Linked DNA regions of Xenopus tropicalis. The protein of the gene in region 1 interacts with the protein of each later gene in a pairwise test. Links are inferred from orthologs where the notes say so. Each region holds a gene or a part of one and is shown in the gene's direction. Other genes may lie near its edges. The genes, in order: bysl, stx11 and ltv1.

Region 1 (8,281 bases):
GCTGCCACAAGGACTTTTGAGCACAATTGCCTCAACAATCGTTGCAATGATGGGGCTCTGTGGTTTTAGCCACAATTTGGCTAAATGTATTAAATGAAACAGCTGAAAAAGATCCAAACCCTCTGTTCCAGGTATTTCCAACTGTGGGACCTCTGGGCTGGGACAACTGTAGTCACAACGGTCCTTGTCATGAGTGATGTGGAATATGTTGGTACTTTATAACTTTATGTTGAAAGGGAACCAAATTTGAAAAAAAGAAAATGTATACCACGAGGATGAACACTTCTCACCAAACTGATATATATATATTTGAGTAAATATTGTCCTTTTACATCTTTTCCTTTGACCCACCATTTTGTGATTGGCTGTGTGCGCCCTCAGAGATCACATGGCCAGAAATAATGCAGCTTTAGCTGTAACAGGAAGAAGTGTGAAAGCAAAAGACAGAAGTTTGTCCTTTAATTGGCTAATGTCAACTAACACGTATGTGTGCTGTGGCTTGTTTGTGTGCACTTTGAATCCTATGATCCCAGGAGGCGGCCCTTAATTCTTAAAATGGCAAATTTCTATTTAGGAATACCCAATAGCAAATACTACTTTAAAAGTATATTTTTATGAAAATGGTTTATTTAGATGAAGCAGGCTTTTACATATTAGCTTGTTTAAGCAATATATTTTAATAGAGACCTACATTGTTTGGGGGTATAGTTTTCCTTTAAAGAGCCCCACATAACACAAAAACCCCTACTATACCTATCACTGTAATCTGTTCCTTAAAAACATATGAATACCATTTGTATATGCTAAAATCCACATGCAAAACAGTTCTTTTCTTTCCCGTTTGCATTCCTATGGCAGTCCACACACGACTCTGTGAAGACAGGGAATATGTAGTTGATTCCAGAGGACTTGGTTGTCCAGTCAAAGGAAAATGGAAGCATTTTGGTTAGCTCTCAAGGCATTTTTCCCATTGGAGATAATTTTTCAAAGAGCTGAAAGGCAAGGCAGAAATAATCCTCTGCAACAACAGCACAGCAGTCCAGTATGTGGACAGGGTGGCACGAAGAGCAATTCTCTTATCTTGAAAATTGTTCCTGTGGGCAGAGGTAAATTTCCGGTCTATAACAGCAGTCTTTACTCCAGGGAAAAACAAGTTTTTTAGATTTCTTGAACCACAGCATCTTTCAGGAGATCGATCAGAGATGCGGGCCAAGAGCAATGGATTTGATGGCAACCTCCTACAATGCCCAAATACTAAGTTATCAGAACTATATTCCAGGAAAATTTCCACAAGAAAAAGCTACCATCAGGTATGGGAAGTGTTTTTCAAGTAGTGTGAAAGTAAGGACTATAATCTGCCTATGTCCTGAGGTTAACCACATTCTGGAATTTTTGCAAAGTGGAGTGGATGAGAGACAAGTAACGCCATTATCAGTACCTAATGAAACTAAATGGGCTACAAATCCTCTGATAGTTCAGTTTCTTCAAGGTTCACATCATATCAATCCAGAAAAAGTGTTCGACGATTGGATTTACCTTTGGTTCTCATAAGTCTCATGAAAGAATCATTTCAACCTATTCAGGACATTCCTTAAAATTAACAAATTGTGTTTTTGTTGGCCATAACCTTGGCCAGAAGAGTGTCCAAACTCCAGGAACTATATATTTCAGAAGATTTGTTAATATTTTAGGAAGATAAATTTGCTTGTCCGCAGAATGATAAAGAAATCTGTTGGCACAACCTTGATGTCTTAAAGGAACAGTAACACCAAGAAATGAAAGTGTTCTAAAGTAATTGAAATATAATGTACTGTTGCCCTGCAATGGTAAAACTGGGGTGTTTGCTTCAGGAACACTACTATAGTTTATAAAAATACGCTGCTGTGTAGCCATGGGGGCAGCCATTCAAGCAGGAAAAAAGGAGAAAAGGCACAGGTTACATAGCAGATAACAGATAAGACACCATTGTATTCTACAGGGTTTATCTGTTAGCTGCTATATAACCTGTGCCTTTTCTTCTTTTGAATGGCTGCCCCCATGTCTACACAGCAGGGTTTATATAAACTCTAGTAATGTTTCTGAAGCAAACACACAACTTTTACCAGTGCAGGGCAGCAGTACATTATAGTTTAATTTCTTTAAAATATATACATTTTTGGTGTTACTGTTCCTTTAAGATGACTCTAAAGAGGGCAAAGAAGTTAAGAAAAACAAAATCTCTCTTCATATTACCAGTGCAGCTAAGCAAACACTGGCATGTATATTGTAAGATGTATCCAGTATGGCAGCATCATGGGCACTCAAAGGTTTAGCGTCACCAGAAAAGATTTTCAAAGCAGCAATTTGGAGGTGTCCTAATATTTTTGTGAAGCATTAAAAAATGTTTCTGCTTCTGCAGATTTTGAATAAAAAAGTAAAGTATTTTGCAGCATTTGGTATGTGTATGTTCCCTCCCAATTGTGCGGACTGCCATGAGAATGTGAACAGGAAAAGAGAAAATCTATATCCAATTTACTGTGATTTTCTTTTCCTGGAGCATTCCAATGCATTGTGGGTTATGTACAATGGTGGCATTTGGAGGATGCAGGCTGAAGGCAATCATACAGCAATAGGAAGTATGGTTGCTGCCTAGGCAAAAAAAGAAATCATGGCTATTGTTAATGTTATTTATAAGAAAGGAAGATAAACATAAGACAGATATATTTTGGTATAGTATATCAGTCTTCCTATATTCATAACTTTATACCCTATTAATAACATTGGCATCCAGCACATTTTTTTTTTTACCAGCAACGCTATTGGGGGTTCAAAATTATCATTAAAAAATTCTATTATTCCTTAACAAAGGCAAAAAAAAATCCTGAAAATAAGAGGCAGAATACATTTTCAACAGGTTATATTTACAGTGTTGATTTTTAAAAAAGGATATCTTTTAACTGTCTCCCTATTACCCATAGCATTCTTAGTGTGATACTGCACTGCAGTGTTGAATTCGTAGGATTCCGTTTTTCTATAATTAACAAAGCAGCAGTCATGCAAATAAGTAAGCGTAAACTTAGTTTACAAAAGATAAAAACAATCCAGAAGTTAACACGTATCTGCAAACATCAAAATGACGTTTCTTCTTTTTCTACTACTACATTAAAAATGACAAACACTTACCAAGTCACTCCCATGCTGGTACTTAATTGTACAAAACACAGCGACGTGTTATGACGTCACGGCGCTCAAAATTGTTGTCATTATTTGCGGTTCACGCAAGTCCCACATCGAGGCGTACGATGCCAGGGGAATAGGAGCATGCGCAGTGTGTGGATCTATGCACGTGTATGTCAGGAAAATGCCAAAGCACAAAAATTCTCGGGGAGCTGCTTCTCGCTTACTCCCCTTAGCTGATCAGATCGAACAGGAGGGAGAAATTAGACCCTCGTTCCGTAATAAGCGCAAGGGGAAACCTACAGACGACGCCGAAGATGATGGATACGTGGACGAGAAATTGTCCCGAAGGATTCTGGAGCAGGCCCGTATTCAGCAGGAGGAATTGGAGGCCGAATATAGTCTGGGGAATGTGACCCCTAAAGAGAGGACAACTGTTTTAGGTAAAAAAGGGTAAAGAAACATTTCCAAGGCAGAATACAAAACAAAAGTTTTTAAACCGGTATATAAAATCAGTGGGGAGTCTTTAGACTGAGTCATAACCAACAACTAGTGCTGTAGTTGTAAATACATAGAAACGAGTATGGGACAGTCTTAATAATCCATTAATGTAATCCATTTAGGGCCAGATTATATTGAAATTTTGCCATGCAAAAAAAGTCTACTGGGGGCCAAAGAAATGCTCAAATGCTCATTAGCTGGTTCAAATTGAACATTCCAGGTATATAATATGATACAGTCATACACATATAAGAATATTTGAAAAGTTGTACATAAATAATTTGCTAACTTCATTCTGTGATAAAATGAAGGATATCTAATGTGCTGTTTTATATGCTGATGCATCTCCATGCAAACACATGTGCAGTATGAAGCAAGGAGGGAAAGGAAGGGAGAATACCTTTTTAGAGATGGCTGCCTGTTCTAGAATATGTGAAGTAAGTGTGACTGAGTAAATATTTGATTAGGTGAGCCAAAAGTGTGGCATTTTTACTAAACAATAGGAGGACTATTGGGCAGTATGCTTTTTAAATTTTGACTTGCATTCTCCTTTAATGATTATACTCCACATAGCATATATACTTTAGTGTATATGTTATAAAAGACCGGAATCATGTGTGCAAAAATGGATTGTACACTGCACCTTCATCTTAATTTTTAAGATTTGATTTTATCAAAAATGTTTTTAGGACCCTTTTTAAATTAAAGGTACCATACAGGCAGTGCTGCTTTCTAGTTCTATTTAGCCATGACAAGGTACAGTATGCTCAGTTATACTAGCTGTAATTAGAACAAAAAGTGTGTAATATAGCCTAACATGCACTAAATGTATTCAGACTGTGACCCTTAACTCGCATTACAAATATTTCATGTTCTCTTGGGCCTACCCTGGGAATTGTTTGGAACCGGTGCTCCACAGAAACAGACCTTGTAGCATTCACTAAGTACAGTCTGAATTAACTTATTTACAAATTAGAGGTCATTATTTCTTCATATTTATCTTTGCTTGTATATTGGCAAATCAATCATTATCTTTTGTAAATCCTTGCCCTTCAGATTCCAAGAACAGAGCAGAGGGTTCAGACTCTGAAGATGATGAGTGGCCTTCATTGGAGAAGGCAGCCAGTCTGGAGAAAGGTACCCTCAACGAGGAGGTACAAATTAACCCTGAAGATGAAAAGGCAATGGAAATGTTTATGAATAAGAACCCTCCACTAAGGTAAAGTAGCAACTATCTGGAGACGCCAAGGGTTACATGGGTCAAATAAAGCCGGGCCAGAACTTGGGGTAGTCAGAAGGGAGCAACGATGTGGGGGTGTGACAGTTACCTCTTCTGCCTACCCCCTAGTACACACACTATTGCCCCAGCTGCTTTTCTCGCATCCTACCCGGGATGTCAGTGCACTTTCTCATGTACACACATGAGAGGTGGGGTGCAGGGTGGCCAATTGGGTTGCCTAGGGTGCCCGGTCGGCTTGGCCAGCCCCTGAATAAAATAATCATTAATAGAAATACTTTATAGCAAAGATTACGGAACTTTATCCATACACTATCATTTGTGAAATTTAACAGGTCTGGATATGTACATTTTAGTCAAAAGATGATTTTGAATAAAAACAAATTAGTGATGAGTGATTCATAACATTTTCAACCCTAACCTGCTGTTTTCCAACCCAGCTTCTACTATAACTTTTATGTGGTTCTTCTCCGATGACTCTTATATGGGTGGGACCAGTCACCACAGGAGATGGGTTAGAATTAATACATCACCTGGTTGCAGTTTTACCTGCCACCCTCTTAAACCCGCTTCTAGGGCTTGGTTCTCGTGGGTTTTGAGTCATCCCATTTATCCCTAGTGTGAATGAATGCTTAGTTTACCTATAGTTGCAACCAGTAGAGCAAAATGAAACTGAATTGCTGTCTCTGCTAATTTCTTTAGTATATGGCTTTACATAATGACAAACCCCTCCATTGTTTCTAATCCCTCTATCCCTCCTAAAAGGGGTGTAACCATGTATATTCACAGCCCAGTCACTTGTTTCATCTCACTAGGTCTCAGTGATACAAATTATATCCTAATTGTCAGTACATTCAATAGACTCCAGCTCTTCTAATTTCCCTGACAAGCTCTGTGCATTTGCCAGCATGCCGTGGAGGTTACTATTTTTCCCTCTAATATTTACATTACAGAACTAAGAGTTAGATCTGAGGTTACTATTAGGGGTTTTCCATGTAACAGAGGAATCTCCTTAGCTGGTAAAATGTATGTATCCTTGCTTATCCCACTGCCAGATCTACACTAGCTTTCCCATAACCCCCCCCCCCCTGCCTTTTTTAAACACTCCTCCAGCCTCTTAGCCATTTTTTTTCCCCAGCACAATGGACCCCCATTCCATTAAGGAGCAATCGGTCATGGCTGTATAGATTGTACCCCAAAGAAAAGTCAGCCCAGTGTTCTAGGAACCCAAACCCTACAGCCAAACATTTAGCTCCCAAAGCTCCCGCTGTTTCCCTAAACGTTGCACGTGGCACAGGCGAAGCTTCAGAAAAAATTACATTGGAGGACTTTTTTTTTTTTTAGAGCCTAGGTTCCTGAACTCACTCTTTAAGGTCCTCCACCTACCATTTATTTTGTCATTAGTACCAATATGTACCAAGACATTTGGGTCATGCCCCACCCAATAATTTGTCAACTTGATCAACCACATGCCAAATCCTAGCACCAGGAAAATAGCATACTGTCTGGATCGCTACAACCAGACAGTATGCTGATTTCCTAGCACCAGGAAACCAGCATACTGTCTGGTTGTAGCGATCCAGTCGATAGATAACCCTGTCCACTTTCCTAATAATTGAATCCTTTATAACCACAATCTGTTTAGGCCTAGCTCTGCTCTCCTTCCCACCACTACTAGAGAAACTGGTCTTCCCATCTATAACCACCAGTCCAGAGCTCAAAACAAGTTAAAATTGCACTTACAAGGCATCAGAGACTAGAAGACGTGTCACAAAACTTCTCAGGTCCAGATGCTGCTAGTCCCACAGTATTAGTAGTGTTGGTAGCATTGGTATTCAACCATGCAGTGTTTGAAAAAGGGGGATTCTCTGGCTGTACTTCACCAGTAGTTCCTAGGCCCAGATGCTGCTTCTCCCACAATTCAGCAGTACTACTTAGATATAGTTTAACAATGCAGCCTTACTGGAATATTTGGGCTGATCTCTGGCAACAATATACCACAATATACCAACGTGTTTTGTTGGAAAATCACTATAACCAACTTATAGGACAAGGAAAGGCAAAGTCACTTGGGGGTGCCAAAATGGTAGGCACCCCCAAGTGACTTTAATCGCTTACCTTGTACCCCGGGCTGGTGCCCCTGTTAGGAGAAAACAGCACCAGCCCCCGGGGTACCTGGAGCGATGCACTTCCTCCTTCCTGCTTCGTTAAGCTGTGACTATGCGGTGGGCGCATGCGCAGTAGAGTGAAAAGCCGACTTCTCTGTTAAAGTTCGGCTTTTCACTCTACTGTGCATGCGCGCTCACGAAGCAGGAAGAAGGTAGGCGATTAAAGTCACTTGGGGGTGCCTAACATTTTGGTCCTTTAATCGGGGTAAATACTGCTATAAGTATAATATGTGCAAAATTGCAAAGAAATGTAAAAAAAAAATTTTTCAGCATGTTCTAGTCCTGTGGTTCTCAACCTTCCTAATGCTGCGACCCTTTAATACAGTTCCTCATGTTGTGGTGACCCCCAAACATAAAATTATTCCTAAGACCATCGGAAATATGTGTTTTTCAATGGTCTTAGGTGACCCCTGTGAAAGGGTTGAGAACCGCTGTTCTAGTCTATCTATGTTCGGAAACAGATTTTTGCGCCAGTATTTCTAAATGGCGCATGCACAATAGTTTATGCGTTCCAGCTTGTAAAGCACATGAGAATCCATCACTCATGCATGCGCATTTGTAGGTGCGTACCACATCGCTAAGATTGCTATATTGTGTGCCTAGTTTATCAAAAATAGGCATGATTATAGGCACCTGTATTTATAAAAAGGAGGCATAAAATCACCCTTATATGGTGCAGTTGCAACTTGCATATATCACAGGGAAGGTGGAACACCACCTATAAACTTAAGAATTGCAAAAAATAAATAATTACATTTAATAAAGACATTTTTAAAAGGACTGTAAATATATATACATAGATATAATTACATTATTTTTTAGCAAATTTTACATATATCAAATCCTCTCTGAATAACCACAAAATCAGCTAATTCATTGAGACCTTTTGGAAACAAGGTTTGTAGTTTGTAAATCCAATAATTTTCCTTATTCCTTAATCTTCCTCAGAAGTAAAACTTTATGTTCTGTCAATTCCTCATACCTTTAAACCAGTTAGATCTCCATTATGGATTTCAAGAATGTGTTTAGATAACTTTTATCACTGTAAAGGATATTTCCCTAAATCTGTCCTTCAGGGGTCTTTTGGTTTGGCCAATGTATTGTAGGCCACACACCTTTTTTGTTGCAATTAATCAAGTGTTTGATCTTAAATTCCTTGTTATTCACTTTAGATTTAAAGGTATCAAAATTATTACCTAGAACTCCACATGTGAGTAAC
Region 2 (8,284 bases), on another chromosome or scaffold:
CTATTTTGCAATAAATACAGTAACAGTACTTAATTTTGGTTGGTTCGTAGGCAAATTGAGGGTAGGTGGGGGGATATGCAGTGTGTTAGTAAGGAGAGAAGAGGTCCCAGTATTTAAACAGGGCCACCATCGAGGGGGAAGGGGTGGCCAAGGGGGAGAATATGGATTCCCAAGATACCTAATGGCAGCTCTCAATTTGGGAATGTCGTGAAGATATTTTCAGCCCCTGTTTGTGGGACTGTGCATTTGGCTCTTTGAATTTAATTTCCTTTTGTTCAGTAGTAAAAATTATCCCACAGTAGGGTCACAGTAGGCTGCTATCTTACGCATAAAGGTCTATTATAGTACTTTGCTATTTTTTACAAAATGGTACAAAAGAGAGTGGGGTGTTGTGGGTTTCTCAACAATCACTGTATAGCACATGTAGAAATTTTAAGGGTTATGGCAAATGGGGAGATTTTTCGGGAAATCTGTGCTACCGACAAATCTCCTAAATATACCCTAGCACTGGTGTCAGTGTGAATCGCCAGAGGTAAAACATGAGAATTGTGTAAGCATTGATGATATGATTCATATGTTCAGCAAATTCACACTGGCGCATTGTTGCTCGCAGTTACCACATAATTCTCACTGGCATCAAATCTCCCCAAATTCCCCAAACTGTTTTTTAAACAAAAGAAGAACTTGTTATTGTTAAACAGTGCTGATCACTGACAGGAATAAAGTGGTTCAACTCCAAGTTACCTCTTGACAATCAAGTACAAGTATAAGTCTTGGCATTTTCTGCCCTGCAAGCTCATTTACTAACACTGGGAAAACTTGCAACTGCTCAGTGATCCATAACAACCAATTAGTAATTACAGTAACTTTTTCAGCCAATAGCAGGAAGAGCAATGAAAGCTAAACGTTATTGACTGCCATCAGTTACTGTCCACGTGTAAAAATGCCCAGTGTTGATACAAGAACTCTCAAGGTCTCTCAGATCATTAAATTCAGGGTCATTTCCTTGAACAAGGAATTGTATTTTTTTTTCTAGTAAATTACTTTATTTTCACATCACATGCAACCTTACTGCATCCTCCCATGAACTGAAAGGGAGATTCCACCCAGGAGGTGGTACAATCACCACAGACCATTGTACTTTAAGAAGAGCAGCTAGTGGGAGGGGGGAGTAACATACGATAAATGAATCACTTCAGGTTGCAGGCGTCACATAACTTAATATAGCTATAGTGAAATGACAAGAAAACACTCAGGGCTTTCCATACAGAAAAGTGGAAACTCGCATATTTCTTATTAAAACCAAAGTTAAAATGGATGGGGGTGGAAGAAATGTATTAGTTCACATGTTATTTTCTTTTTGGGAAAAGCCCCATTCACTGAGGGGTGCTGATATGTAAGGCTGTGTAAGGAGAAAATTGTAGATCTCAAGAGCGCCTTAATCAATAATGACTACAACACATTTTGCAAGGTTGAGCTTGAGAGCCAGTCTAGTTTTGTTTTCTACTACAACTACTATGTAGCTATGTCATACACATACATATAAACTGATAGTCCCTTCATTTTACAATCAGGTATAAAATGTTTTATATATACATGCATAAAACAAAGATGTTTTCTTAAAACAGGTGACCAGTAAATGCCACCCGCTGACTGGTTGCTATAGGTGACTAGACCTGAGGCAAACATTGCACATTTTATTATTATTACATTATTACATATATTACATAACCATATAAGACTTTAACAGAGAAGGTGTAAATTTTTTAGTCAGGGTTCAGTCAGATAGTTACTAAGGTGTGAAGTGAATAATCTCATAAATACCCCAGGAAGGAAACAGCTCCTGTTGAGCATGTCAGTACTTATAGTATGAAGGAGGGCCATCTGGGGTAAATGGCACCCTGTAGAAACACATTATATGACATACACATCATATGAACAATTTATAAACCACCATATATCATTTATAAGGTATAATATTGCTGTTCAGTGTACAGGCAGTAGAATCTGGCTAGGGTTGCTACTTTTGGTGACCAGATGAGAGAAACAAAAATAGGGTGAAACCTGAAAACTTGTGTGAGTTGACATGTCTGTACAGAAAAAGAAAAACTGCCATGCACACCCCTTGTTTGTGGTACCTCACGCAGCAGCAGCACAGGTCACACATTAGAAAAGCTAACCTGAAGGCAGTTCTGCGAAGAATAGATCCGTACCTTACCTAGCGCAGACGTACCTATGGTCAGGGGACAGGCATGCACACGGGCCACCCTTGGGGGTGCATATGGGCACAAATATATCAAAATTTCTCTAAAGAAAAAATATATAGTGTAAAAGGGACATTCCATAATCCTGCATGTAATGCTTTAACTGATTGTGCCTAATGTGCCTTTGGTTGAAATATATTACAGAACCAGTGTACACTAGGTGCCTGTCTTTGTGAATCCCCCACACCATTAATGTAAAAAAAATCAAATACATGTATGTTTATTTGGCTATTTTATACTAAAACCTTTAAAAAGAAAAGCTACAGGGTATGGTATAAAAGTATGGACTGGACTAATCTGGCAGATGAGGGATGTTTAAGGGCCAGGTCTGTGTGGATAAAACTTACAGAGTAGTTATATGTTTTCCTGGAGGTTTCTTTCTGAATCATTTCTTTTCCAATAAAGAAATTCTAAGTATTATCTGCTTCTCATTTAGATGGAAACACCTCCTGCTTACTCACATGGTGCATGTGCTCACCCTGCTTCCTCTTCTGACACTTCACCTCCCACTGAGCAGCACAACAGCAGCAGCAGCCGCCTGTCTATTGCTCGCTGTGAGTGAAGAGGAAGTAGGCTGTGTGAGTGCCACAGCATGGGCATGGCTTGAGGCTTGAAGGCAATCAGCTTGAAAAGTTTCCCAGCTCTGTAATACAGAATTAAGGAGCTACAAAGCAAGAGTTCACCTATACCCAGCAGTTGGTTAAAGGTAAGTGCATGCATTGTTGCTTTAGGTGCATTTTCCTGTGGGGCCAGCTCCTTAGACACTGTTAAGAACTGGTTATCTGATGGACAATTTGCACAGGGCAGGTTGACAGTATATAACATGATAACCGAGACTGGCTGATATAAAGGATAATCAAACACATGACTTTCAGAGTGACAGAAAGTTTAACAGACAGGTCAGTGGGGAGACTTGAAGTTTCTGCGCCCCATAACAAAGTCATTTGCCACTTTGGCAATAATGTATTTTTTATAAAAATATACTGAGACTGAGTTTATCAATCTATGCCCCTCTGGGCGCCCATATTTCCTGGGTTCCCCAACAGTCACAGCATTTGCTTTCTCTATAGTTACACCCCTGAATGAATAAGTGATGCCGTAGCAATAATGTGCTGCATAATCGTATAGAAAGTCCATTACTACAAATTGAAGCAGAAACAATCAGCCCGTCCGGGCTTTATATAGCTGCTTTGTATGAATAGAATTTTCAGTTCATTTTGTTGGCCAGGAGTTGTTCGCAGCTGAACCTGATTGGGAAAATAAGGTGTGTGCTGAACTGGGGCAGACTGCTGGAGATGGGCCAATTACCCTGTAAACTTGTGTCGTTATGATGATTAGAGAAACATTGTGCTTCTTTTTGTGAAAGTGTGTCTTTGTGCTGTTAAGGTTGTACATTGTACCATCAGTGTGGAAGCCAAGCATCCTTTTTGGTTATAAGACCCCCTGTGTTTCCTTTTGGCAATAATAATATGTTTCTAGTCCTCAGTTGCCCCCTCTTTTCAGCCCTTTTTGTACTACAGTAATCTGTCACAAGGTTGTGGGAAATTGTGTAGTTCAAATATAGCAGCAGTTTGGGCACTGTGGGAGTTGTAGTACAGTACTTGCTTGTGCAGGTGCAGCAAACTCCTTTTTTATACACCAGTGAGGGTATTTTCAAGCTCTTGTAAGGAAGATGATTTAATTTGTGGCCTGCGAGCTACAGACAGGTTTGTGGCCGAGACTGCGCATAAATGGTGAGAGGATGATTCTGAGTGTAGGAGATCAGAAATGTGCAGGTTAAATAGAAAGGAGCTTAAAGAGGTTGTAAACTTTCTCACTGTGTCCCTTACTTCTCTTAAGTACATGACTAATTACTGATGCAAGAGAATTTACCAATGAGATTGCTGTTTGTCAGCATTATGTCATTTTGTTATGTTATCACACTGTAGCATCACAAGGGAGGATGCTCTTCTGTGTAGTTCTGCCATAGAAAAGGTTTGTTTAAAGCTTCCAATTACAGTGACAAAACAAACAACATGGAGACTAATCAAAGGGATTCTTATTGGAGGATTACTTTGCATATTAATTTGGGTCACTGGTCCTAGAAAGCTGGGTAGATTTTTATTGTGAACTAGCATACACACCCTGAAGTTGCTGGACTACAGCTCCCACTATACTTAAACCATTTGTAAAATGTTTTTTTGCTTTGTAGTCTAGCACATTTTGGGTAAACTGGCCTTTAAGGAGGTTATACCTGACACCCTGGCCAAACACTCATATTTAGCCTTGTATGAAGAGATTTAAACTTAGTAAGCAATTAGGGCAGACAGGCTGAGAATGCAGCTTCAGAATATTCTTTATGCTGCAAGCAGAGACCTGTAATAAAATGACATCACAGAATCTTCTCTGGCATCTGTTAGCTTCTGTCCCACCATCTAAGAGTGACAATCCAGCTATCTGATTTATACCATAGGAAGCTATGTAAAATGCATATGGAATATTCTGCAGGTTTAAATAAATATGGTTAGCTCCATTCAGCACAACCTCTATAGCGATCACAAGCTTAGATGAAGTGACAAACTGACTTTCATGCCCATGTATTTATGTAGAGAAAAAGACTGTTTTATCATAAAGGAAGGCAGAATCATTGATGCTGGAGAGCTTGTGCAACTTGGATATTATTTAAGGAATTTATAACCATCATCAAAGGAACCCTGTTGCATTGTGTTTACTGACATATCCTCAACTGATAACACACACATCTTTTGATGTGGTTCCCTTTTGGTTCCTGCATTTTCTTAAAGTGGACCTGTCACCCAGACATAAAAAGCTGTATAATAAAAGTCCTTTTCAAATTAAACATGAAACCCAAATTCATTTTTATATTAACACATCCAAACCCATTATAGAGGCATTTAAAAATCCCAGATGTCAATCATATATTGCTTGCCCCGCCTTTATGCCTTAGGCATAGAGGCGGGGCAGACAATAACTTTAGCTTTTCGTTCAGCACTACCTAGATGTCACTGCACATCTCACTTTTCCCCTCCCTCCTCATCATCTAATTGTGTAGCCAGTGCAAGGGCCTGGGCATCAGGTCCCCCATTCTGGCATATAAACAAGATTTTGGCATGATACCAAGCTTGCCTTAATAACAGTGTCCACAAAATGGTGCCTGCCTGCTTGCTTTGATTGAGTAATTCCAAGACGGAAAGAAACAAGATTGATATTATTTATATAGAGTAAGTAAAGTTCATTTTGCTCAACTAACAATATAGAAAATAATTTGGAGTTATTTCTTAGGGTGACAGGTCCCCTTTAAGCACTCTGGACTGAGGAAGGATAAATGTTATGATAGGCTGGAGGATCACCATAAATAAGAACTTCAGCTTATTACAAACTTGCATAATGCCCAGCCCAACACTCTCTAGGAAATGAATCGACCAGCTGCTCAGAGAGTGAATAATAGCAGGCTTCTAGCAGTGTTGGTACACTTAGGCTGTGGTGCTCTGTACTATATTCAGGTGAACAGAAAACACTTTTTGAATTTTGTGCTGCGTTGTATAGAGGACAAAATACTAGAACCTTATTGCATTGTGGTGGATGTAGCTGTAGTGAGCAGGTGGCAGCAAAAAATTGGGATCTTTGCTTTGGTGCCAATGGCATTGATCAAGTTAAAGTGATACTGACACTAAAAAACTACTCCAGATTATTTATGTACATTAAAAGTTATCTATAGGTCATGTTGATTGTTTTGCTCTGATAGCTCTGCTTTTGTAAGTAATTTTTACTTGAAGTTCCTAAACCTGACTGTTTTGCCAATACTTTTAAGTCAATACTTTAAAAAGCATGCAAAGAAAATGTTATGCTATGTAAAAAGGATTCAATTTCTAATGTCAGTATCTCTTTAGATGTCAGAATTATCTTTAGTTACAGAGGATTGGAGGAAGTTGAGCTGACAAATGTATTGGAAATAAGAAGCCCAATCTTTGCTCAGGAACATACAGAACAATAAGGGCCCTGGGAACACCAACAAAGGGCCATCTGGGCTGGTCCCAGGCTGGCCCTGGAGCAATATTAACATTTACAATTGATGGTTTTAAGCTTTTGGAGGGGATAATAAGGGAGACAATACTTGAATATCACAATACTGTGTGTTTGTTCCAGAGGTAAGCAGAAACCTAGACTCTGGGATGGCAGTGGATGTGGCCTACTTAGATTTTGATAAAGCATTTGAAACAGTACCACACAGAAGGTCACTAATTAAATTCAGTAGTACTGGTCTGGAACATAATGTAATGCACATCAAGAACTGGCTGAAGGATAGATTACAAAGAGTGGTGGTAAATGGAGCAATTTCTAATTGGGCCATAGCCATTTGCTTTTTAACATGGGCATTGGAGGTACTCTGTTTTGCTAATGCAACTAAATTGTACAAAACTATATGTTCAATGCAGGATGCTGCCACTTTGCAGTGAGTGATTTTTTTTTTTGAGTGATTTGACTAAATTGGAGAACTGGGCAGCAAACTGGCATATGAGGTTCAACATAGGGAAGTACAAGGTTATGCACTTTGGTAGAAATAACAAATGCAAGTTATACACTAGATGGTAGTGTGTTGGAGGTTTCCTTAACTGAGAAGGATGTTGGGAATTTTTGTGAATAACAAACTGTGTAACAATAGGCAGTGCCATTTAGTTGCTTCTTAAGCAAATTTAGTACTGTCAGGGCCGCCATCAGGGGGGCACAGGGGGGACAGTTGTCCCGGGCCCGGAGGATCGTGGATTTAAAGGGGCCCCAGCCATGATACAGTTTTTAAGCACGGGCCCCCTTTAAAAATTTTCACTTCATTGGTGGTCAGCGGGTAATTTTATACTATTCTTTTATAAGGTTGCGCCCCATGCATGCTGACGTTAAGGGTACACACGGGGCGCAACCTAATAAAACAGTAGCTGCAGCAGCAAAACGTGGGACCTAAGAAGAGACGGGGAACGCAGCCTGACGAAGCGGGCAGGCGAGGGGGAGGGGAAGCTGGAGGATGTTGGGGAGGGGAAGCTGGAAGATGTTGGGGAAGACGCCTGGGGGAGCTGAAGGATGTTGGGGAGGATGCTGGGGGGAGCTGAAGGATGTTGGGGAGGATGCTGGGGGGAGCTGAAGGATGTTGGGGAGGATGCTGGGGGGAGCTGAAGGATGTTGGGGAGGATGCTGGGAGGAGCTGAAGGATGCTAGGGGGGAGCTGGAGGATGTAGAGGAGGATGATGGGGGAGCTGAAGGATGTTGGGGAAGACGCTGGGGCGAGCTGGAGGATGTTGAGGAGGACGATGGGGAGAGCTGAAGGATGTTGGGGAGGATGTTGGGGAGGATGCTGCGGGGGAGCTGGAGGATGCTGGGGAGGATGCTAGGGGGGAGCTGGAGGATGCTGGGGAGGATGCTAGGGGGGAGCTGGAGGATGCTGGGGAGGAAGCTGGGTGGGACCTGGAGGACGCTGGGAGGGAGCTGGAGGATGCTGCAGTGGGAGTGGCCCATAGTATGGGGACACTGGGGGTCCCTGCCCTGGCTCCAATGCAAAATGTAACCTTTGGCTATTAATGTTTTAGGGGGGCCCTGGCTACCAATGTCTGTGTGTCCTTTGTACTGATGGGAGGGGTCACTGGGGGAGGGGCTATTGGGGGATGGGGCCCAGAAATTTTGTTGTGAGGGGCCCCGTGATTTCTGATAGCGGCCCTGAGTACTATCATGCATTAAGAAGAGCATTAACTCAAGGGATGAAAATAATGAGCTGGAGAGAGTGCAGAGATGTTAACTAAACTGGTAAAATGGACAGAAAGACTGTTATGGTTGGAGAAGTTTTCTCTGGAGAAGAGGTGCTTTTGAGGGGACAAGATTACTCCTTACAAGTACATTAGAGGACACTCTAAATAGATAGTGGGTGATATTTTTTTCCAATAGAAAAGATAAACAAACCAGGAGTCACCCCTTAAGAGTTGAGAAACTAAACTTTCATTCAAAGCAGCAAAGATGGTTCTTCATGGTGAGGATAA
Region 3 (8,184 bases), on another chromosome or scaffold:
TTATTTTCTTTTGTCAAGCATATGTAAATCTGTTCTATAAGGTGGTACTTTTTGTCCTTAGGGATTAAAAACCTTTTTTTTTCCCCATTACTGTACACATGAATATTTCCATTACTGTAGAACAGATAAGCTATGTCTTGTATAAAATAATGTTTGTTTTGGTATAGCCTCACCGAAAGAAGAAACCATTTATTAAAAAGAACAAAGCAGTCACTTTTCATCTGGTGCACAGGAGTCAGAGGGATCCATTGGCTGCTGATGAAACTGCTCCTCAGAGAGTCTTGTTACCTGCTGAAAAGGTGGGATATTAATTCTTTAAACTTTATTTAGCACTAATTGAGGCTTTGTGACATCTGCTTACAAAAGTATGTCTAAACAATTGATCAAGGGATCTTGCACATTTAGCAAACAAACTGTTCAGATGGCAGAAACACATTACAGCATAAGCAGCAGGAGACCAGTTATTATTAAAATAAGAAGTACTAGATTCAGGAACCGTTTTTCTCCTGGGACAGTCAGACTATTAACAAAGGATAAAATTGGGAAGTATTACCTTTCATTTGAAGTGCTGTCCTGAATACTAAATCCATGCAAAGATACATATCAAATAGATACATCTTCTTCTCTACTGTCCCACATAGGGATGCACCGAACCCACCCTGACTGATTCTGCCAAATCCCGAACCGAATCCTAATTAGCATATGCTAATCAGGACTGGGAAGGGTTAAAAAAAAAAAGCCCCCCTAAAATTTAGCCATTTTCGAATGCAAATTGGCATATGCTAATTTATGTTAATTCTGATTCGGTTCAGCCGGGACCGTGGATTCGGCCGAAACTAAATCCATCAAAAAAAGGCTGGATTCGGCCCATCCCTAGTCCCACACTTATTGGGTTAAGTTTGTATATAATGTTGTACCTACTACTGCAAATTTCTTGTAGAAAAAACAGTAAACTTGATTTGTAACTAGTAACAGAGTTATTGGCCTGGAATGCAGGTATCCCTTTCTATAAAATTTTAAATGCAAGACTTGGTTTGCAAAACAATTTCCAAACTTCTTGATCAATATTTCTTTAAGTGTTCATTTTATGTTGCCAGTTGGGTCACACAAACAAGTAGTTTAAATACCAGTTGCATGCCTGACCTTTTAACATAATTAGCAATCTTTGGGTGGCTATACAGAATTTTTTTTCTACAAAAGCCCTCAGGCTGCAGCAGGTGAAAGAGGGGGTAGTCCTCTTTGATGCCTACATACAATACAGAGGGCAGCATCAGATATAAATCTGGCACTAATATATATATATATATATATAATATATATATACGACACTCCGAAAGTTGCTACAATGTAGCTGCCCCTGTGCACGGAATACCGAATAGATACCTTGAAAAAGGTCCCAAAAGGGACCGAAACGTCGGTTGTAGGGATATATATATATATATATATATATATATATATATATATATATATAATATATATATAATATATATATAATATATATAAGAAAAAAGTGTCAGCACTCACAGGATTTAAATTATTTGAAAAAAATTACATTTTGTTGCAAAATATGAAAAAGGAACATTACAGACCGCAACTTTTCAGTCCCCCACAGGTACTTTCGTCTATATAAATATAGCCTCACTTACTGATTCTGATTTTCAAGTGATTGCACCAGCAGTGAGGCAAAATCTAGAAATCTAGTCAAAATTTAAATTTTAAAACATATTTTAGAATTCTATTCAATGGCTGCACCACTACCATTCTCTTTTGTAATCTGTTAGCATGCCCATATGATTCAGAAATCGTGTACTATAATAAATACATTTAAAGAAATATTCCCAAATATAATCTGGCCTCTGCTTTACAGACAGAAATCTCTATGCATCCCTGGATATTGTTTTTCCCAGAAAGCTAGTGGATAATGCTATAAATTACAGTTCACATTAGCTGGATAATTTTGCATTTCATATCTATGGGCTATCTTGTTTGAAGAACAGTGTATTGATTGAACCAATCATTTCAGAGTTATTTCATTTTCTAGACATGTCTGGCCTCTCTTGATTAAGTGCCGTGATAGATGGGGAGCTCCCCGATATGCCATCCCACCAGCTAGAATGTAAATAGTCAGTGGGATGGCATATGCGGAGCTGCCACGGCCCTAAAGAAGAACAGTGTACTAAAGTTAAGAACTACTGCTACAATGACTTATGCCTTTTTTCTTTTCCTATGCAGGTAGAAACAGAAAAAAGGAAAGAAGAACAGAGAAATTTTGGAGTCTTTTTTGACGATGACTATAATTACCTACAGCACCTCAAAGAAAGAGGCCCTTTAGAACTTGTTTCCTCTGAGACCAGCAAGTCAAAGAGTTGCGTTATCGTTGCTCGGGAGAGTGGCATAGAAGAGGAGCCTCATCGCTTTCCCGTATGGCATCTGTGCTATTAATTGCATTCATATGTTTATGGCAGCCAGAGTTGACATTGCATTTCAGATGCTGGTGCCTCTATAACAAACCTGGAGAATTAAAGTTTGCATACGATAAACCATGTGTGCATTAAAGGAGAAGAAAACACATAATTTTAAGGGTGTTATTGTGTTAGACACCTTTCACTTTATAATTGTGTAGTCCAGGGCTGGCACAGTGTCTCTTTTGTTATGAGGATTTTCACTAGATCTTTGTTTTTCTCTTTCTTTTTTCATTTTTGTATTTTAGTACCCATTCAGCACAGTCACCTCCTGTTTAATATGTCTTAAGACTGGTTGCAGGCATAATTTTGGTGACAATTACTGATTTTGTGTGCAGTTCACTAATACATTAATAATAGTTGATCCCTTTTTGCATCATTGGGCTGTGCGCACAGTACAATATATTCGGAACCCTATCATAAAATACCCTTTAGGGCTCTGGCACACGGGGAGATTAGTCGCCTTGCTTTCCTCTCAAGGCAACTTCCACAATTTCAGGGAAGTCGCGGCGCCGCGTATGCCATTGGCGCTTTACATTTTCATCAGTGGGATGGCATTTCGGGGAATCTCCCCGTGTGCCAGAGCCCTTAAGTTGGGATGTTTGTTAAGCTCACTACATAGAGGCACTTCTTCTCTCAGATTATCTTCAGTCTATTTATCAGCTCAGATAGATAAAAGGCATTGTTGTGTTCAGTTGCAAATGTTGTCAATGGTATCTGCCAATGAAATGTGAGCTCTAGCACTGACTTACAGTAATGTGTATTAATGTGGATGACTGTAATGACTGTTTTTGACTATTTTTACACATACTGTAGTAAATCTTTTAGCATAAATGTATTTAAAGTCTGTCTCTGTCTCTCTCTCTCTCTCTCTCTCTCTCTCTCTCATCTCTATTTAGGGTCCATCAATAAATTTGCCATCATCTGTGTTTGCATCTGAATTTGAGGAAGATGTTGGATTGTTAAATAAAGCAGCTCCTGTTCGAGGTAAGGTTGCTAACAGCAAAGTGATTGCCCCAAGTTTTAAGTTTCCTCCCCACATTTATTTTTGTTCTAAGTCCACTTCATAATAGTTGATGAGCTTTCAAGGCATAACCAAAAAACATACACCTAACCCTTAATTCTTTGACTTATGTCATGGAAAAAAAAAATTTTGCAGATACGAAATTCCCAAATTAACTGACAAAATCGGTGAGAATTGCCATTTTATGGCATATGCAGGTTACTGTGAACTAAGTTTCTTAGAAGCAATTAATAGTATTTTGTTTTACAGTTCCTTTTCCGGGAAAAGTATTACAAAAAGCTAAAAAGGAAGAGTTTAATTTGACTTAAGAGAGTTTATAGTTACAGGAACATAATGCTCCAAAACAGCCTGCATTTTTTAGTGATAAGCCTCTGTTAGTAGAGAGGACAGGGCACACTGGAAGGAGATTTCTAGAGTATTGTCCTTATATAAAAGAGCAACAAACCCCTGGTTCATCAAAACCCTACAAATCCCCTCAAGCGCAGTTACACCAACCTGTAGTTGATAAAGAGGAAGATGAAAAATTTGAAGCCATCTCCAATTTGCCTCAAGAGGAAACAAATTCCTTTCTGAGGCTATGAATCTTTTTTTTTTTTTTTACCTGAGAAGCTTATACCATCCTCTGAAACATTGCAAAAACTACATCTCATTGAACCATAAGTTTATAGCAGATGGTTTAGTTTAAATAAAATAATGGTTGACACATATTTGCTGTTGTTGGCCAGGCCAACATGTGCCCAATCAAGCAAGCCGATTAGCTTTTTGGTTTATTGCCTTTAGGTTTGTGTCTTGACCTGGATCCAGATATTGTAGCAGCTTTGGATGATGATTTTAATTTTGGCGATCCAGAGAATCAGCTGGATGATGACTTTATCTTACAGGCTAATGACCCTAATAGTGATGACCTCCGGAGGTACTCTAAACTTTATTCTCCTTAGTTATCTTTATTTTTGCCTTACATAGATGTATATTTACACAGCATATACATCTATACATTTCTTTACATGGTTGCAGATCATCCCATGAAAAAGATGATGATGACTGGGAGGATGTTGAGAGTGAAGAAAATGACTATGATTCAGATGGACTTGTTTCAGATGAGGATGATGATGAGGAGGGTAAAGGAGCCAGGAAAGAGTTTCTGTTTATGCAAGAGGAAACAAAAAGTCGTTTTACAGAATATTCCATGACATCTTCTGTTATTAGGAGAAATGAGCAACTAACCCTTCTTGATGAAAGGTTTGAAAAGGTTGGAAAATCATCTAACCAGTTACAGACATATTTTCAATGATGATAAGAAACAAATGTAGTTTAATAATTAGAAGCTTATGCTTAGTGAAAGCAGGACATTCTCCAACTATTCTAGGGTCCTAGATCTGATTTTTGGTTTATTAAAGTAGCTTTTTCTTTTTAACCTAGTTAGTCATATATATATATCATGACTCTCTTCTTCAAGAGAAGAACTAAATTTGTTTTCCAGGCTCAATGTTTTACCCATCTATTTGGCATCTACCAAGTGATAGCTACCAGAAGTGTAGGTAGCTACCACTTGGTATCTACCTATCTGCCAAATGGATGGGTAAAACAAATGTAGTTCTTCTAACAGCTACAGTGTATTTCCATTAATTTTTTACTTTCTTTAAAACAATGGAGGTGAATAATTTTATATTTTATCCTCAGTTTTATGAACAGTTTGATGATGATGAAATTGGAGCCTTGGATAACACAGAATTGGAAGGATTCATTCACTCAAACAGTGGTCGGTTGGAAGAAGTAATAAATGATTACCACAAGCAAAAAGCAAAAGAGTATGTTTTTGATTATTTTCTGTTCACTTACACCTTCAAAATAGATACTTTCATATATACTGTTGCAATACTATCTGATCTTGGGTAAAGTAAATGTTAATACAGTGGGGTCACTGGAGTCAAATGATTAATGGTGCGGTCTTGTCCACTGCATAAAAACACCTGCCAGGGGTACTTTTTTGAAGAGCGATGTCATGTTGGTTGGTTGGTTGGAGACCTTTATAAATCAACCCACATTTATGGACACTGTTTAGACTGGACTGTCATTTGGTTTTCTTTACTCCTTGGCCATCCAGCAGCTTTTAAGCCTGCTGTTTTGTTGCTATGCCCCTGGAACTGAAAATGAGATGTCTATAGCATTTATTTGCACTTTTGTACTGTCTATAAACTTGTATTTCCTACAACGTTTAGATTATAAGGTTAACATGGCAAGTTGTTTTTTCCATTTTGATAGTTAAAATATAGTTTTAATTGATATACATACTCCTTTTGCAGCTGCGTGAAACTGAAAAACCTGACACCTAGAGATGGCATGGATTCAGTAATTGAGGAAGATGAAGATAATAAAGAAGATATGCAAAATTTAGTTATTGAGGAGCCTAGAGAAAAATGGGACTGTGAATCTATTTTGAGTGAGTCTATAAAGAACTGAGGATATCGGACTTTAGTGCTCACCACTGATCACTAGAGAGTAATTTCCCAGCTATCATATTTACTTAAATGGGAAAGTGCATATTTTCTAAATAGGTAAAATTTCAACCACTGATTGGTAAACACACCATTACCTGAAAATTCTATACAAGTCAATAAAGAACAGTGAAATTTTCCTCTGGTAATTTGTTGCAAGCTCTATTTCACCCTTTTATATACTGGAGAAAAAGTAACAGAACATCACAGCGCCATACTTTGGTTAAAAGCTAGAATCTGTATTTAAGCAGAGTGAAAATTGTTCCTGTATATACAGGTATCGGACCCCTTATCCGGAAACCCATTATCCAGAAAGCTCCAAATTACGGAAAGCCTGTCTCCCATAGACTCCATTATAATCAAATAATTAGGATTTTTAAAATTGATTTCCTTTTTCTCTGTAATAATAAAACTGTACCTTGTATTTGATCTCAACTAAGATATAATTAATCCTTATTGGATGCAAAACAATCCTATTGGATTTAATTAATGTTTTATTGATTTTTTTAGTAGACTTAAGGTATGAAGATCCAAATTACGGAAAGACCCCTTATCCGGAATACCCTTGGTTCCGAGCATTCTGGATAACGGGTCCTATACCTGTACCGCAATACTAATCCCAGATAGGCGTATACCTTAAAAGCCCTTTAAATATTGGCGGATTGGAAATTATCTTATGGCAATTTATAGATCAGTGGCAAGAGTATGTGTACTGATCAAAATCATTTTAGCGTACATCTTGAACAATATGTCATATGTCACATTGAAATGTAATTAGGTTCTTTTCCTTTTTAAAGGTACATACTCTAATTTATACAATCATCCACAGATTATCAAGGATCCACCCAAGGTAAGAAAATGAACCTTGCTGTTTTTTAATTTTTATTAATGTTTAGCACAAAAATTATTTGTTATTAGTTTGGTGGTCACAATGATAATAGTGCCATACTGCTTCAGACAGGGCTCTTTCAAGCCTTGCAGTTGTATTTCTAGTCTCTCTCTGTGTGTAAATGTGTGTGAGCAATCACTTTAAGCAGTCTAGCAGCTTGATGTATTTATATGTGTAATTATTGTTCATTTATTTGGATCAGTGCTGTCCAACTGGCAGGCCGCATCTGGCCCATGCTGCCACCCCCATCTGTCTGGCTGCTGCGACTACTTACTTTAGTATAAACTTTAAATTGTATTAATACTGAGATTAACTGGCCCCTCTGCATTGTTCACACCTCTCCCTCAGACTCCAGGGAGAAACCCCTCAATGAGCGTGAACTTTCTCCATCAGTCTACTCTCTCGGCAGACCAGGTTGAGGTTTCCACGTCCTCGGATAAAAAAATCAAAAGGTTTATTCTGTCTGGGTACTGACCGTTCATTAGTATTTCCTGCGCATGACCAATTACAGTTCATTATCCAGGAGAAGTTGAACGCGCCTGAACACAAATTACTAAACTAAAAACAAAAATTGTACCCATTCTCCAAGGAAACCCTGGAAGAATGGACTGATACTCCTCTGGTAGACGCTCCAGTTTCCCAGCTTTTGAAGGCAACTGCCTTACCAGTACCCAAAGATGTTATATATTGATGCATGAAAAGGAACAACTTTTCTAAAACATATGACATGAAATGCAAGTGCATAAAATGCTGATACATAAGTTGCAAATCCCTAGACCTAGCTGAACACGGAAGAGATGTGTTACAGCTTAAGTATAGTTTCTGATTGTTGAATACATTTAGGCATAAACAGCAAGCTGAATTTTTCGAAAACTGCAAATTGTAATTTATTTCCTGCAGGCAAAATTAATACGGGTATCTGCAAAAACTGGTATTCCTCTGGATGTTCTTCCGGCAAGGGGACTCACTGCCAAGCAGGTTGAACAAATGGAAATGATAAACAATAGTGATCTTCCCAGAGTGTCAACACAGCTACGTCCCAAAGATGAATCAAAAGAAGAGCGCAAAGCTAGAAAACAAGCAATTAAAGAAGAACGCAAAGTAAGTAATATTTTGTTTGTAATTCTAACACATTTGCTATGTAAAAAAATGACCCTAAATAGAAAAGAATTGTTTTGTTCATAACTGAGCCTTTTTTCAAACCATCTAACTTTAATGTTATTACAGTAGGTGGTAGAGATTTGGATCATATACAACTGTGTTGAAATAATTAACTATGTCTTTATTAGTAAAATGTATTAGATGCATTATATG

Evidence for each region.
Region 2: the proteins of bysl (region 1) and stx11 interact in binary tests that used the Homo sapiens proteins (3 or more experiments, as listed by UniProt). The two-hybrid records come from large-scale screens. The link is inferred for Xenopus tropicalis from reciprocal best matches to the Homo sapiens genes BYSL and STX11.
Region 3: the proteins of bysl (region 1) and ltv1 interact in binary tests that used the Homo sapiens proteins (3 or more experiments, as listed by UniProt). The two-hybrid records come from large-scale screens. The link is inferred for Xenopus tropicalis from reciprocal best matches to the Homo sapiens genes BYSL and LTV1.

What each region holds. Positions count from the first base shown.
Region 1 is NC_030678.2:70,759,126-70,767,406, reverse strand, and holds the start of bysl (bystin), read left to right. Parts: upstream 1-3,322; 5' UTR 3,323-3,340; coding exon 3,341-3,599; intron 3,600-4,713; coding exon 4,714-4,876; intron 4,877-8,281. Other genes in the region: med20 (mediator of RNA polymerase II transcription subunit 20), read right to left, coding at 3,163-3,176. UniProt on the Homo sapiens protein: Required for processing of 20S pre-rRNA precursor and biogenesis of 40S ribosomal subunits. May be required for trophinin-dependent regulation of cell adhesion during implantation of human embryos.
Region 2 is NC_030681.2:45,303,665-45,311,948, forward strand, and holds the start of stx11 (syntaxin-11), read left to right. Parts: upstream 1-3,473; 5' UTR 3,474-3,528; intron 3,529-3,669; exon of another isoform or gene 3,670-3,694; intron 3,695-3,972; exon of another isoform or gene 3,973-3,997; intron 3,998-8,284. UniProt on the Homo sapiens protein: SNARE that acts to regulate protein transport between late endosomes and the trans-Golgi network.
Region 3 is NC_030681.2:64,491,532-64,499,715, forward strand, and holds part of ltv1 (protein LTV1 homolog), read left to right. Parts: intron 1-167; coding exon 168-299; intron 300-2,232; coding exon 2,233-2,421; intron 2,422-3,361; coding exon 3,362-3,449; intron 3,450-4,266; coding exon 4,267-4,399; intron 4,400-4,500; coding exon 4,501-4,735; intron 4,736-5,166; coding exon 5,167-5,294; intron 5,295-5,789; coding exon 5,790-5,926; intron 5,927-6,778; coding exon 6,779-6,831; intron 6,832-7,770; coding exon 7,771-7,971; intron 7,972-8,184. UniProt on the Homo sapiens protein: Essential for ribosome biogenesis.